Drosophila melanogaster: one gene and its partner. Changing the gene in region 2 together with the main gene of any one other region gives a genetic interaction. Each region holds a gene or a part of one and is shown on either strand. Other genes may lie near its edges.

Region 1 (7,478 bases), on a different chromosome or scaffold from region 2:
TAATCTTATTCTAATATTAACTTCAACTTTCCGCTTTTTCTTTCAGTTACAACGCTAAGCGCCGTCACTGGAGGCGTACCAAGTTGAAGCTGTAAGCTGTTGATTCCAGGAGTTCCGCAATTTTGTGGAATGCTGAAGATCTTTTCGAGAATATGAAATAATAAATTCGTCTACAATTTGCGGATTAAATATACTCTCTTTTTATTTGTATCTTGGGAAAGGGGTGGCATACATGCATTCGTAAATGCAACGCAGGAAACCCAGGCGGAAAATGTGACCGAAAGCATTCTCCAGTAACGAAAACTGAACACTTTCTTATCAAGCATGTGCTTTTTGCGGGGCATGTGCGAATTGTTTACTTCTCATTTAATGGAAAGACCTTCCAAATATATAATTGTTTTAACAATGCAAGAGTTCTGCACATTGTTTTCTGCCTAATAGGAATTCAACTGTTAAACCGAACTAAGAAAGATTTTCCTATTGCGTTGCTTAATTGGCAAATCTACTCTGCTGAATTGATGCAATATTATGCACTTCTAGTTTTCCTCTTGTTTAACATTTAGCTAGCCTATCTGAAATCGCATTCACGGCCGCATTGAGCTCGAAAGTAAAATTCTGTCCGATTGGGTCAATTATTACAGACTGTATCGCGTACAATTTATTAATTCTGTTTAAAAAACTGTTTATTCCGCGGGGACTTCAATGGAGCCCTCGTTCAGTTCGTCAATAACATCGTGAGGGTGCTTTCCGTCAACGGTGCAGCCGACGCTCTGGGCGGTTCCCAGAACTTCCTTGCAGGTTCCCTTCAACTCACGGGCCATGGACCTGGGCCTCATCACGCGGGCGATGGCCAGAATGTCTTCGAAGCCAATGTTTCCACTGTGCTTGACTGTAAATTAAGAATATCTGCTGTTAATCGGGGGATCAAGCACAGAACCATCCAGTGCATGTGGGCACAGTGCGGTGGAAGCAAAGCTCCTCATTATCCACCACAGCCCGGCACAGGCATTGGAAGTCCAGTCCAGGATTGCCGGGCAATACTCACTGTTCTTCTGCTTCTTGCGGTCACGTGGGGGTTCCTTCAGAGCCTTGATGATCAGCGAGGCGGCGGAGGGAACCACGGAGATGGCGGCCTGTCGGTTCTGGATGGTCAGGCAGACGGTGATCTTCAGACCCTTCCAGTCGGAGGTGGCCTTGGCGATGTCATCACCGATTTTCTTGGGCGACTACAGAGAGACACTTTTGTTAGCGCGAATTGCACAAGTAAACAAACCGATTTGCATGCTTACCAGACCGAGGGGACCGATCTTTGGGGCCAGGGAGGATGTGGCACCGACTTCTCCGCCCACGCAACGCAGGTACACTGTAATTTGGGTGCAGAAATTCGTTATTGAAGATAATCCTCTATTATAAACTACGGTTTGCTCGAAGCTCAACTCCTCACAAAAACACTCGCTTACTTACCCAATTTAACTTCCGTTGGGTCGAATTTGGGAGGCATAGCGGTATCTTGGCTTGAACAGTCGCTGTAAGGCAAAGATTACGTTAGTTTTCGCCGATTTTATTTGAGACATTTTCAGCTCATGTACTTTACCGCAAAAAAGACACACAGAAAAAGAAAGAAGAAGCTATCGATTTCCGGGAGGACCGTTTGCAAGTGATGTATCGCCCAGTGCTATCGGAATAAAAAGTGTCTCGAATGGAACGCGGAATTGAAACGAGTGTAATGAGTTTATATTTTTATTTATTCTTAATTTGAAATTAGGCTTTAAGAAATCTTTTTTTTTTGTTGAAAATGTTAAATACTAGTTGATATATTTTAAGTTTAATTAAAATTCAGATTTACATTTTTTTAACTACATTTCATAGCGGTCGTTGTAAATATTTTTATCTTCTTGTTAGTTCAGTTAGTTCAATTTTGTTAGTTCAATCTAATATTTATTTATGATTATGCAAGTAATTTATATCTGCTAGCTGAAGAAATACTTATTTGAATTTTCTCTATCAACTTACTAAACCGATTTACAAGACAATTGGTATATCGATTGATTGGCATTTGGCTTAAAAAATTATCGATTATTCTTCTAATCTTACAACTTATGAAAATTGTTTTTATTGTTTTTGTACTTTTACTTGACCTTTCCGAAAGTCGGTACATCAATGTTGAAATGTTATTTAACAACGGCATTTAAACCGTACATATGTACATGTACATACATAAATTGGTACTATACGAAATTCCGACCTGCCTCAAACAATATGCCTCCTCCATTCTCTATATCCGAGTACCTTATCTTTTTCAGGATACACTACACTTTTAAATGGGGTGTAGCAAAGCTCAGTAGCGTTGTCAATAATACAAGTTCATCTTGTACCCATTCAAAACCGGTAGCGTCACCCCATCTGGTTCCCGCCGTTTACCATCACAATGCTAAGTGACGCCATTCATTCGTGCGTCCAGACCAACATTTTGTTTACTTTTCCCATTTAGCTGTGCGAATTAGAATAAAGTTTGCTGAAATAAAGAGCTTAAACCCAATGAAAAACAGGAGAATCATAGTTTTACGGATGACGTTTAGGTAAAAAATTTTATTGGCAAACGTGTATCTTGTTACTTAGTTATTCAAACATGATGCTTCGAGTTTCTGTTATATTAATTACAATCGTTAGAACCAGATTTAAGATGTAGAGCCAACTAGCCTATAACAGCATCTTTGAATAAATTTGTTTCAGATGTAAATGCAACAGAAATTTACAGCGACACATTTTGCCTATTTGTCCAGAGCAGTATTGGTTTTAATTGCGATAACGCACTCCTCTCCGCACGCCTTGAGAACGGTGCACTGAAAAAGTATAATTAAATTATTCTCTGCGAAATAATAATATGGTGTCGAGGCAAACTCACCAGTAAGTCCTTGCCACTATCAAAATCTAAACGCAATTGTTCACCCAATTCGCCCTCTGGAACCTTCAAGTCTTCACGCAGATCTCCGCTCTCGGTCATCAATGTAAGGAAGCTATCGTCACTAATAGCAATCAACTGAAGGTCCTCCCTTTTGACATTGGGCACATCCATGTTATGAGTAGATGGGCAAATATCTTCATATCTGCAAAGACGACGATAGACAAAGCAGGCGTTAAGTAAGAGGATCTGGATTTGGCTTGAGGTGGCGTCGCCGCGTTGAACTCTAATTTTCCTCCATAAATTTATTGATAACTTTGGTCCAAGATAAGATTGCTTGCGCACACTTTTCGTTGATTACATTCAAGAGCAGCGCGTCGCTTCCTTTGTGTTCTCCGCAAATGCTGCTGCCACCAGATAGGAAGAAATATGCGAATATACTCACTTCTTGTTAGAGAAAATATCAATGCCAACCATATGAACCTTGGCGTGTCCGTGCTTTCCAGTCTTTGAAGTAGACATCTCGACAATCTTGCATGGCCGCGACTTCAGCATGACGAATCCGTTTTTGCGCAATGCCGAACATTGCATGGGATAGGTCGTCGATGCGCCGGAATCCGTGGTCTCGAATTGATCGTCCAACTCAGCCATATCTGCCGCACAAGACACAAGATGTGATTGAATTAATTATTTATCTATTTAATTAACTGCCGATTAATTGGGATTTGAATGCATTTACACTTAGGCACAAAGACACTAGCTGGTGTTGAAAGCACATTATATACCTCGGCGTTCTATGGGTACATACAGACACAGACGGATTCGCACATATGTATGTAAATACGTGTGTGTGCAAGCCGAAAAAATGCATACATACGTATGTATATATGTGTCGGCAAATGTATGTATCCGAAATGTCATATGCCAAATTGCATACCCAGGCACTTGGCACTTTAGTGTTCAAACATTTAATTTGGCAAAGTCATCGAGACACACGGCACTTGAAAGTTGTGTACTGCATTTTTGCACTTGTATGTGTGTATGTGTGCTTGTGTGAGTGTAAGCACTTTCTTTCGCATATTACTGAATGTGCCGAGATGACCGGAGGTTAATTCTGGCTTCCAAGCCGTTTTTGACCGTCTCCTCCGGCTGTAAGTGCCATTTAGGTCGTCCGCCGCTTCTCCGGCGAATTTGCAATTTTTTTATACACAAAAATGCGAAATTACTAACCTACTTGCAAAGTCCAGTGACTGTTCCAACCGAAGATGTAAAATGAAAGAACCCTGCTATCGAATCAAACCCACGTTTTGTTTCCGGTCAATAATAAGAAACGCACAGTGCTGCATCTTAGCACACGGATTGTCAGCACCGGTCGCTGTGCCAGTTTAGGAACTGTGGGAATGGAACGATAAGGCCGATGCCGTATTTTCGCCAAACTTACAATGGCCTGCCAACTCAGTCTTAAATTTGAAAACAACTATTTATAAGCTATATGTGTATGTATGTATGTATGTTGCAAGTAAACACTTAATTTTTTGTTTTATTATGTATTTGGTGCTTAAAATGTCTCTGTAAGTATAAATAATGGTTAAGACTTTAGTTTGCTCTGTTCATTTACACAATGTATACGCATGACTCGAAGACTATAGCAATTTACTGCTGATTTACTTTTTTAAAATAAACCTCAATGGGCAACGACGGTATGAAATTATCGTTTTCCAGGTGCGACATTTTTCTGGACCTTTGCGGCTTTGACCTTGCCTTAATATGGGGCTGCCTCATTTTTAAAGTACCACTGGAAATAGTCATAATTGCCGATTCTGTGACCAAAGCGTGTTTTTCTTCTGATATACCATCGGCGCGAGATTTTGCCAAAGTGTGACTTATCGCCTGCGTAGCGTTTCGAACGATAACATTATCATCGACCTTCGTCGATTTCCGGGGTGTTGCTGTTGTTCGGCGCTTAAGCTTTTTTATCGTTTCGATATCGGTATCAGCTGTTGTGTTTTTCGCGGCTTCTGGCATTGCAGTGGAGTTCAAGTGCTTGCGCCGTTGGTAAATTCTTTTCGGTAAACTCTTTTTGAATTCTCCCATGGCTTTGCTGGAATCTGTAGAATTTCTCGAAATCTGCACCGGAACCTTTTTGGTCGATGCCAAAACTCGCAGTTTTCTCAGTTTTCTATTGACGTTTGTTCTTCTTCTTGGCGGTGTGGGCGTAGTTGTTGTTGTAGTCGTTTCCAAAGTGGTGTGGTTGTCAAGAACAGCTGTAGTCGTTAGATTCTGAACGTTCTTCGGCGTTTCCCTAGTTGTAACCAGGTTTTTAAGATGAAGCTTCAAAAGTTTCAGTTTAGTTTCAATGCTTGAAGAGAAGTTTTTGGTCGCTTTCAGGGATTTTAGTCTGTGCTTATAGGATCCTGTCGTAACATTCGCCGTGGAATAGACGTTCTGAGCGGGTTGCGGAGTTGTCCATTTCGGGGGATCCTCAGAAGCCGCAGCTTCGGTTGTTGTGGTGCTGGAGGTAGTGGGGCTAAACCAGCTTGGTCGGGTGCTATATCTGTACTCCATTTCCAAAGCAGTGGTTTTCCCCGGAAAAGTGAATTCAGTGGTCGTGGTTGTTGTAGTTGGAGGCGGCGTGGTGTGCTGAAACCGCTCGGTGAAAAGCTCCTGGGGCCTTTCCGTTGTGAGAATTTGGTGACTGGGCCGAAATTGCTGGTCTTGTGCTGGAGATTTGCCGAGTTTCGATGCGGAATGGGGGAGAATCACGTCGTCAAGGGTGAAGTAGGTGTGCGCAACGTAGTTGAAGTAGGGCAAAGTGGTTGTCGTGGTCACCGGCAGGTCACTGGTCTTGCTCTGCGAGCTGTATTGGTCCTTGGCATACTCCTGGAACGGAATCTGGAGGCAGTTTTCGCGGCACTTGTTCCAGCCGTCGTTGGAGGCGTGGGTTTCGGAGTGGTTCCACAGACTCGGAGCGCCAATGAGGCGTTCTGCGCTCGGAAGGGTTCCCGTCGTGAGGGGCACGAAGGCGTTGACTGGGGCTGAACTGAAACCAATAGGTGCGTTTACCGGAGGGGAACTGTACTCAATCGTGTTGAGCGGGGCCGCAACGAAGTCAACGGTGGAAGTAGCAATGGGCAGGAGTGTGCTCTTGAACCCATTCACTTGGCTCAAGTCCCTGAAGATGCTCCTGAAAGAAATCCACTATGATTATACGTATGCACAAATGGATGATATGTGCGCTGATATAGACCTCTTCGAGTTCGCATAGGCCTCGTGGAACTGGACAGGTGAGGGCACGTATCGGGGCAGCATGTGCATGTTGCGCATGTAGTTTTTTAGACGCATTTTGCCCACCAGGATCGGGGTCCTAGCGTTGTACCAGTAGAACTTTCGCATGGCGTTCGGGTGCTGTCTATAGAGGACGATCCCTGGATGATCCACGGGCCACATCTGAAAGTCGATGCGGGCGTTCATACTTTCGCTTTTCCTGGCGTCGAATGCTTACCTGGCGTTTTGGCCTCATGTAGCTGGCGGATGACTTTATGCTCAGCAGTATGTACAGCAGTCCTGAAGCGAAGCGGGTGAGCTTAATTCGAATTTATTGATTTTAACCTCCATACCAGTGGTCATGTAAATGACAATAATGCTGCCTTTCACTTTCCCCAGCATCTTGAGCGATTGATTTTGGCTGCAGACAGTTCAAGACTAGCAGCATTGGTTTTTCATCCACATTACTTGCTACTTGGCTGGGAATCAAAGAGATGATCGACTTTTCAGGGATATATGCATTTGCCAGATCACTCACACTTGTGGTAAATGTGCATTTAATTTTCTTATTATATTTTATCCGCCTAGGTTCCCGAGTGAATGATTGTTGCCAAGTCAGTGCCCAGATGCTGCATCCAAATGGTGGCGTGTGTGCTATGGAGCATAAAACGCAACGCTTGGACAAGCCCATCTTCAGTTATAATTGTTGCATCTATATAGTTGGATACACTTTCAAAAGGTATGCACACTTTCGCAGCCCAACGAACCGATTCCCTCGCATCTTTGATACCCATTAGTGCATCTGAACATTGCGTGCAGTATGCAGTTGCATTTCAAAGCTACGAGTATGTTTTCTTCTTATCTCTCCATTAATCTAAACGACACGCTCGATTTGCATCAGAACTTGCGTGCATCCCTCCGTATTTAAATAAAGGATGGACATCATATATTTTCGAATTAGTCACGAAGAAATTGTGGAAAGGATTTCATGAATACGAAATGTGGCGGAAGTCAGTAATGAATTTTCGAGGATTTATAAGGTCTTTTGTGGAAAATAAAGGGTAAGAGTCAGCGATTCGAGGATATTGTCTACGGTTCGCAAAACCATCACTCTTTGCAGGCTGCTTTGGATTTTTGTGATTGGCATTTCTGGATGGAGCACCGTTTCCATATTGGTTCTATTGAAAACCAGATACGAAACGGACTCCACGACAATAGGGGTCTCGACCGCCTACAGTCGCTGGATAAACACCTTCCCATCGATAGGAATCTGCTTAACAAAAAGCCGAGCGTTTAACGAATTCAAGGCAAT
Region 2 (7,013 bases):
GAGGAGCTGCAGCGGAGCACGGCAACCCTGCTGGATGAACTTGACCAAGTACCGGGCCAACAAGTAGTCGACGAACAAAAACAAAGAAAACGCCGGCGACGCTTATATAGACGAAGCCAACATCGGGTGATACGTGCAACCGTCAAATCTGAGGCTGCAGAACAGAAGTTCTCCATAGAACCGCCCCGAAATACCGCACTGGAACAAGCGAAGCACATATCCCTGCGAAAACAACGCGATGCTGCCTCCATTTTGGAGACCTTTGATCTTCTGGAGAAACTTTGCGAGTCTCGTGGAGGAGACAGAGCCGCCCTTTGCCAAAAACTGACCCACATGCGTCTTGTTTGGCGCAGAGTCCAAGAAGAGACTCAAGCTGGCCATGTCAAGGAGTCCAAGAAGGTGGCTTCACTTGAATCTCAATGGAAGGCTGTGTTCTTCGGCCGATCCTTGCCAACTCCCAAATTAAATAAGGGGAAATTTCTTGAAATTCGGTATGTCTAGGGAAATGCATTGTCCGGCGGGAGCTCCCTTTTAATTGCATCGCTTTTTCCAGCTCCACATGGGATTCTTACATAAGCTACTGTGGAAGAGGCTCCTCTATACCCAGAGGATGGGTGCTACCGCCAACAAAGCCTACAGCTCAGTGGATAGGCTATCGACTATCCTTAACTTAATATCATAGAAACCTTTCCAAAGCTCACACTCCTTATAAAGAAGCAAGATTATATAGTAATTATTGTGGAATTTTATTTCTTTAGAAGAATCAATCTGTATTCAGCTTAGACGAGGGCAGACAGTTAAAGTAGCCGTCTATTCGTAGATCCAGTCCTTGGCGGCCGGGGTCCAGGTGACCAGCTCCTTTTCGTTGAACCACAGGGCGATCTCCTTCTCGGCAGACTCGACGGCATCGGAGCCGTGGATGATGTTGCGTCCGACCTGAATGCAGAAGTCACCGCGGATGGTGCCGGGCAGCGAGTCGGCGGGGTTGGTGGCGCCGAGCATCTGGCGACCGGTCTTGACCACATTCAGACCCTCCCACACCATGGGCACCACGGGGCCGGAGTTCATGTAGTTCACGAGTCCGGGGAAGAAGGGGCGGGCGGACAGATCAGCGTAGTGCTTCTCCAGCAGCTCCTTGGAGGCCTGGTTACAAAACGGTTCGTTATCAGTTAATTGCAGTTCTGACCTCTAAACACATGTCATTCCGCGATGACGCCTGCACCCAGCCTTTGAGGTTAGGTCCGATGGCAACCCCGCGTGGGGCAACCCGTTTCCACGTATTTATATCTATTGATTTCTTCCTAATTCAATTATCCGCTTACCCAGGTGAACTTCAGGGCGACCAGCTTGAAGCCCTTCTGCTCGAAGCGCTCGATGATCTTGCCGACGAGCCCGCGCTGGACGCCATCGGGCTTGACCATGATGAAAGTCCTCTCCTTGTTAGCCGCCATTGTCGCCGAGATTACAGAAAAGAATGCCAAAATTGTGCCGAGCATCAGGAGCTTCATGTGTTCGCCGTTGCAAAAAAATCCCGAATACGAAATGCCGGCAAGGTGAATTGTGGGAAATCGTCAAGTGGTCACACTGGGCAGCCAGCCGCGTTCTTGAGTTTTTGTTTTTGTTGGGCGATTTAAAGGATAGGAAAATACTTGTTATTTAAATTCCAAAGCGGAAATTTGAGTGCATTGCTAAAGTATTCATATTTTTTTCAGTTTATAACCGCTCAAATGGGGCTGCCATGTCGCCTTGTACTTTGAATTTCAGAATGTATTCTGAATGCATTTCATCGAATAATTTAAAGCAAAAATAACGAAAACTCAATAGTATTATTTTTAATTACTAGACACATTAAAACATTTAAAAAAAAACAAAGAGTTGCCCACAGTTGATGATAAAATGCCCGTCAAACTAGGATAGTTACTAGGCACTCATTAGCATCAGCATTCCCACCAGTTGATTCATCCATCCAGCAGGTTAATCAAAAACCACAGGGAAGTCACGTTCAAATTTCTTTTTATGTCTCGATAAGATTAGGTCCATGTGATCACAGAAGTGACAAAACAATACAAGTTTACGACTAATATATACACAGCTGGTAGATGCAAATGTTCGGCGAAAATCACTTGGTCGCGTCTAGTTTGGCTAGGCCGTCGGCATATTGGAACTCCGGACTGTTCTCGTACTCGCACATGTCCAGGGCGATGACGCAGCTCTCCTTGACCACGCGCTTGTCGTCCTCGGCGTAGCGGTTCAAGATCTGAATGCAGTCCTCTGTGGCGATGGCGCCAAGGGCCTCGGCACACTCGTGACGCACCATTTCGTTTTCCAGGCGATCCTCCAGATTCTCTTGAAGGAAGGGAATGCTGCAGGGTTCTTGCAGCTGGCCCAGTACGAAGGCCACCTCGTGGCGGAAGAGGGCGGAAGAGTCCTTAAGTCCCTCGGCAATGGCCAAGACACTCTCTTCGGTGCGCAGATTGCGCAGGCTGAACATGGCCCTATATCGATCGAACAGGCTCTGCTGGGCATCCAGATAGATGGCCTTCAGCTCGGTGACGCTCTTGTCGCCCGCAGTTGGCGGTGAGGGATCAACGGAGGCGTAAGGGTTGCTGTCATCTACCTTTTGGCCACTCTGCAGCCAGCGGACGCGGTCCAGAGCAATGGCACATGTTTCGGCCACCTCCACTACCGGATCTTGTTTGTACTCCTCCAGAATTGGCAGCACATCTGGATGACCAATGGCGCCCATGGCCTCCGCAGCCTCGTGGCGCACCATCGGCTCCTGGGTGGTGTCCTTTAGCACCTTGGTGAGGATGTCTAACGCCTGTGCGTCCTGCATCTGACCCAAGCAGTAGGCCAGCTCATGTTTGAGAAGGGCCGAATCATCGTCAAAGGCTTTGCTGATCGCCTCGATGGCCGCTCCTCCGCCGATGTTCTTCAGCGTGAAGAGGGCTCGAAAGCGCTCTTTCAGTGGGCGTTCCTTGTTGTTCAGAACGCCTCCAATGGCCTCGATTTGCTGCTGCGAAACCATTTGTATGCGGTGTGGACTTATAAATAAAAAACTGCAACGGGCCGCGTGTGGTGTCGCAATGTGGCCATACACTCAGTACTTGGTAATACCAAAACTACAAGTAATCGATATGACGTGGCTATCGATGGACTATGAGTCGATGAAACGGCGCTGCCAACGCGTTTAGAGTACAAATTGTGCAGCACTAGCAAGAAGCAGTTTAGTTACGTTTACTCCGTAGAAGCGCGATACAAAAAAGTCAATAAAAGGGTGAAAAGCGAACGTTCTAGACACAGAAAGTATTCAAAAATACTGACTCAGTCCTGGCGCAGCATCGGTGACCAAAAGAGCGGCTCTTCACGGTGAAAAGTTTCCGCAAAATCGGCATTTCTGAAAGTTGCGCGTTCACGGTATGCGAAGCGTGGCGTGTGTGTCGAGTTGAGTTACCTGTAATTGTGTGCGCCTGCGAGAGTGGAAGTGGAGTAAACCTCGCCACCGTTTTGAAGTTTTGGAAAGATATAGGGATAACCGCCCAGCGTTTATTTTAAACAATGTCGGAGGCAACTGTGGCCCAAAAGCCGGAGGCGGTGGAAGATGTGAATGCGTCGACGGGGGACGAGAAGCAGACTCCCGTAAGTAGCCGCACATACACATATTTAGCGACAATTAACATAGCACGGCGATAACGCACACCAACACGGGCTCCGCTTTGCTTTGCCCGAATTATCTGCGGTATTTTTCCAAAATAACTGTGTGTGTATATGGGCACTCGGATGTGGTGCATTTTCACCATTTCCCTTTGTGCGCTGTGTCCGTTTCTATTTACGTTTCTTTTTTCAACGGCTACCCTCGTGTGCGCGCGCTTTTTGCTTTTTCCTGTCCACTTTCCAACTCCCCCTTCCCCCGCCTGCTGAGGAAGCCAGCAGCATGTGTGCGTGTGTGTATACGTGTGTAGCTACTCGCCGAAGAAGAAGAGAAGAGGAGATGACGAGAGAAGCAGGGCAATCGGCGATTCCCTTTCAGGCTCACGTTTTGCCGCTGCCGCCGCGTCTCGTTTGTTTTTATTTTTGCTTGTTCCCTTTTCGACTTTTTGTTGTTTGCTGTACTTTGTCATACAAGGCGGCACGAACACTTGCATCCGCTCCGCGGTGTTGTGCATGTGTATGTATGCGATACGTTGCGCTCTAGATTCGGTTCCATTTTTTAGCGGCGACTTTACTAATAGATATACGTACGTACACATCGATGTCTAACTCAACTCCTCCGATCGACAGCTATTAATGTGGGGGTTCATTTGGGGTCTGTTGTGTGAATTCAGCTGCAAGCGGGTCGATGCGGGTGCAATTGCTGCGGTCACTTGGCCATGTCAACAATAGTACAGTGCGCACTTGGATTTAAACGCTTAATTATTGCCGATAAGAGTTTAAATATAAATACATGATTCTGTTTCTTCTATATAATTGTATTTTTGAGTCACTAATAAAGCGCCGTGGTTTCAGCCCATCTTGCACATGTTTTGGTGTTATAGGGAATGCACTTTTAACTACAATGTTTCATATGACGAAACATTAGTGAATCAGAAAAATATGGAATATCAGGTATATTAAAAAAATAAAAAAAAGGCGTAAAATAGCATCTTCATTCCCTCAAAGACAATTGCGTTTTGGCGGGAAATCAAACTTACAAAAGTAGCACTACTGCTTATGTATACTGAAATATAACTTACCGAACCCGATCTCTCCTCTATTACAGAAACGCACTCCCAAACGCCGCTCGTTCATTGAGCGGGCGCAGAAGGAAAGCGAGGAGCTTGTGCGAACAATGGGCGGAAGCCTGGAGCTGGCGGGCGGGCGGCGGACGCGGTCTAGCACTCGAGGAACGCCGACGCGAGCCGCCGAGGCAGTGACGCCGCCACCCAGCAAAAAGGCGCGCACTTCGCCGGCCTCGGCCACAAAGGCCAGTGCAGGAAAGGGACGCGGAGCACGTAAGCTAGACGTAGGCGCTGATGAGCCCGAGCCTGAGCTGGAGAAGGAGAAGGAGAAGGTACAGACCTCGGTCAAGGGAAAGGTAAGCGAATTATCTGGTCTTATTATCATTGAAAACTAAATAAACAAGCTTATTTTAAGGGAGCTGTCAAGAAGGACAAGAAAGAGGTCAAGAAGCAGGAGAAGGCAACTGAGAAATATGCGCCGGAGGAGGCAAAGGAAGATGTAGCTGAGGCAAAAGAGGAAGACGCCAGTCCCGCCGGGGTCCAGGACCAACCGGATGGTGTGGAGAATCTTCCTTCAGTGGCGGAAGCGAAGCAGAATCATGTCGATGAAGTCAAACCAATATCAGAAGAACCTGGGAATTCAAGCGAAGAGGTGCCAAAAGCTGAAGAGCCCCTCAAGTCGAGCGGAGAAACGTCGGAGAATGGAGCCGCTACAGAGACTGCCGCTGCACCTAAAGAACCTGCTTCTGTTATGGATGTGGACGAAGATGAGACGCTCGTCGAAAACACACCATCCGCAAATAAAGAAAAGGCATTAGATGACGAAAAAGAACCAGAACAGAAGTCAGAGGAACATGCAGCAGCAGTTTTGGAGTCCAAGGAGCAAAATGAGCCAGCCAAGGAGCCCACACCAGAACCTATGGAAGTGGACGGAAGTTCGAAGGGCAGTTCGGACACCGCTCAAGTAGACACACCAGCCATCGAAAACGTTTCTGCCGCTCCAGAAACAGAAGCAGCAGCAAAGACTACGGAGTCTAGCAATGATGTGGTGGAAGTGGCCACAGAGGGCAAAGAAACAGTTTTAGAAGTGCCCGCTGCCGAGCCCAAGGAAGCCGAAAGCACTGTAGAGTCCGCGGAAGAGCTTACGGAAACCAGCACCGTGGTGGTGACTGAGCCGAAGGAAGCCGCCAGCAGCGAAGAGGAGCCTAGCAAGGTTGTGGACTCTGCGGAACCCAAGGAGGCAGAGAGCAATACGGATGAGAGCGCCACGCCCGTTCCTATTGATGTTTCTACCGCCCCCGCATCCAATGATGTCAGCAAGCCCTTGGAAATCGATACAACCTTGGTTAAGACTGCCGACAGTCCTGCAAAGGAACCACAGGAAATCTGCGAGGTCAAGAAGGCCGAAATTAATGTAAATGGTAAGCTGGAAATACCTTGTTAATCATGGACTCAATTAATACCAAGTCTCTTTCCAAGGTGAGCCCAAGATCGTCAACAGTTCCGCCGAGGTGGGCGAGAATGCTGCGCCCAAAGTGTGTAACTAAACCAATCCCACCGATGGACAATCAACAACTTTAATGCGTTGCAGATGTGTAAAAAAGCGTCTTCATCTCGCCCGCCGAGTTGGTCTGATGTTGCCAACTACATGCAAACATTTAAGAGTTCCCCCAAACAAAGCTACAATATTCTTTTTTAATTGATAACTTGATTTCGTACTCCGAAATCCCTTAACTTTGATAATAGTTCGCGTCCTCCAGTATTTGGTTGACGCGAAGGACGCCATAGGCTGCAATCGATGCTGGACTTTCAATGCTGCGGTGTGTGCGTCAGCTGGACAGAAAAACAAAAAAAAAAAGTACCCTAAGACCCTCCCACCCACTCCCCCCGAAATGCACAGACAGATTGTAAAATGCATCTTAATATAATATGTATGTGGATAATTAATCAAATTGGAATCAAACAAATTATACATTAACGGAAAATGTATGTAAAATAGATGTTTTTAAATTGTAAGCCATTAATATCCTTAATTATAAAACCAATTGGACAACACTCAAAAAATAAGCAAACGGATCGCGGACATATTTAAACTATTGTAACACAATACAAATGGTCTGCGGCTTTAAGATACGTCTATGCATAACTTTCACCCTTTTTGGACATTTTTTTAAGTATTTCAAGCCCGTTTCGTTTGAAGCATTTAAGTTTTTAAAGATCCAAATGAGCTCATTGGAAACTGTTGTGTTAGGCAAAGGTCTCTTCCGGGCGATCTCTCCTAACTTAATTCGTAAA

Evidence for each region. Genes that interact genetically often act in the same process or in processes that back each other up.
Region 1: of nero (region 2) and eEF5, changing one enhances a phenotype caused by changing the other (phenotypic enhancement), as found in Drosophila melanogaster (one study listed by BioGRID).

Annotation. Positions count from the first base shown.
Region 1 is NT_033778.4:24,054,561-24,062,038, reverse strand, and holds eEF5 (eukaryotic translation elongation factor 5), read right to left. Parts: upstream 4,242-7,478; 5' UTR 4,137-4,241; exon of another isoform or gene 4,133-4,136; intron 3,556-4,132; 5' UTR 3,554-3,555; coding exon 3,348-3,553; intron 3,108-3,347; coding exon 2,906-3,107; intron 2,844-2,905; coding exon 2,772-2,843; 3' UTR 2,757-2,771; exon of another isoform or gene 2,701-2,756; 3' UTR 2,556-2,700; downstream 1-2,555. Other genes in the region: RpL39 (ribosomal protein L39), read left to right, coding at 47-95; RpL12 (ribosomal protein L12), read right to left, coding at 684-889, 1,046-1,226, 1,290-1,363, 1,465-1,501; CG13563 (uncharacterized protein), read right to left, coding at 4,556-6,086, 6,150-6,349, 6,405-6,466, 6,520-6,568; ppk29 (pickpocket 29), read left to right, coding at 7,166-7,227, 7,287-7,478. UniProt on the Drosophila melanogaster protein: Translation factor that promotes translation elongation and termination, particularly upon ribosome stalling at specific amino acid sequence contexts.
Region 2 is NT_033777.3:31,744,448-31,751,460, forward strand, and holds nero (nero), read right to left. Parts: upstream 3,112-7,013; 5' UTR 3,029-3,111; coding exon 2,120-3,028; 3' UTR 1,998-2,119; downstream 1-1,997. Other genes in the region: CG1896 (uncharacterized protein), read left to right, coding at 1-491, 554-674; awd (abnormal wing discs), read right to left, coding at 811-1,143, 1,323-1,496; CG1910 (uncharacterized protein), read left to right, coding at 3,559-3,639, 4,760-5,074, 5,134-6,139, 6,198-6,265. UniProt on the Drosophila melanogaster protein: Catalyzes the hydroxylation of the N(6)-(4-aminobutyl)-L-lysine intermediate to form hypusine, an essential post-translational modification only found in mature eIF-5A factor.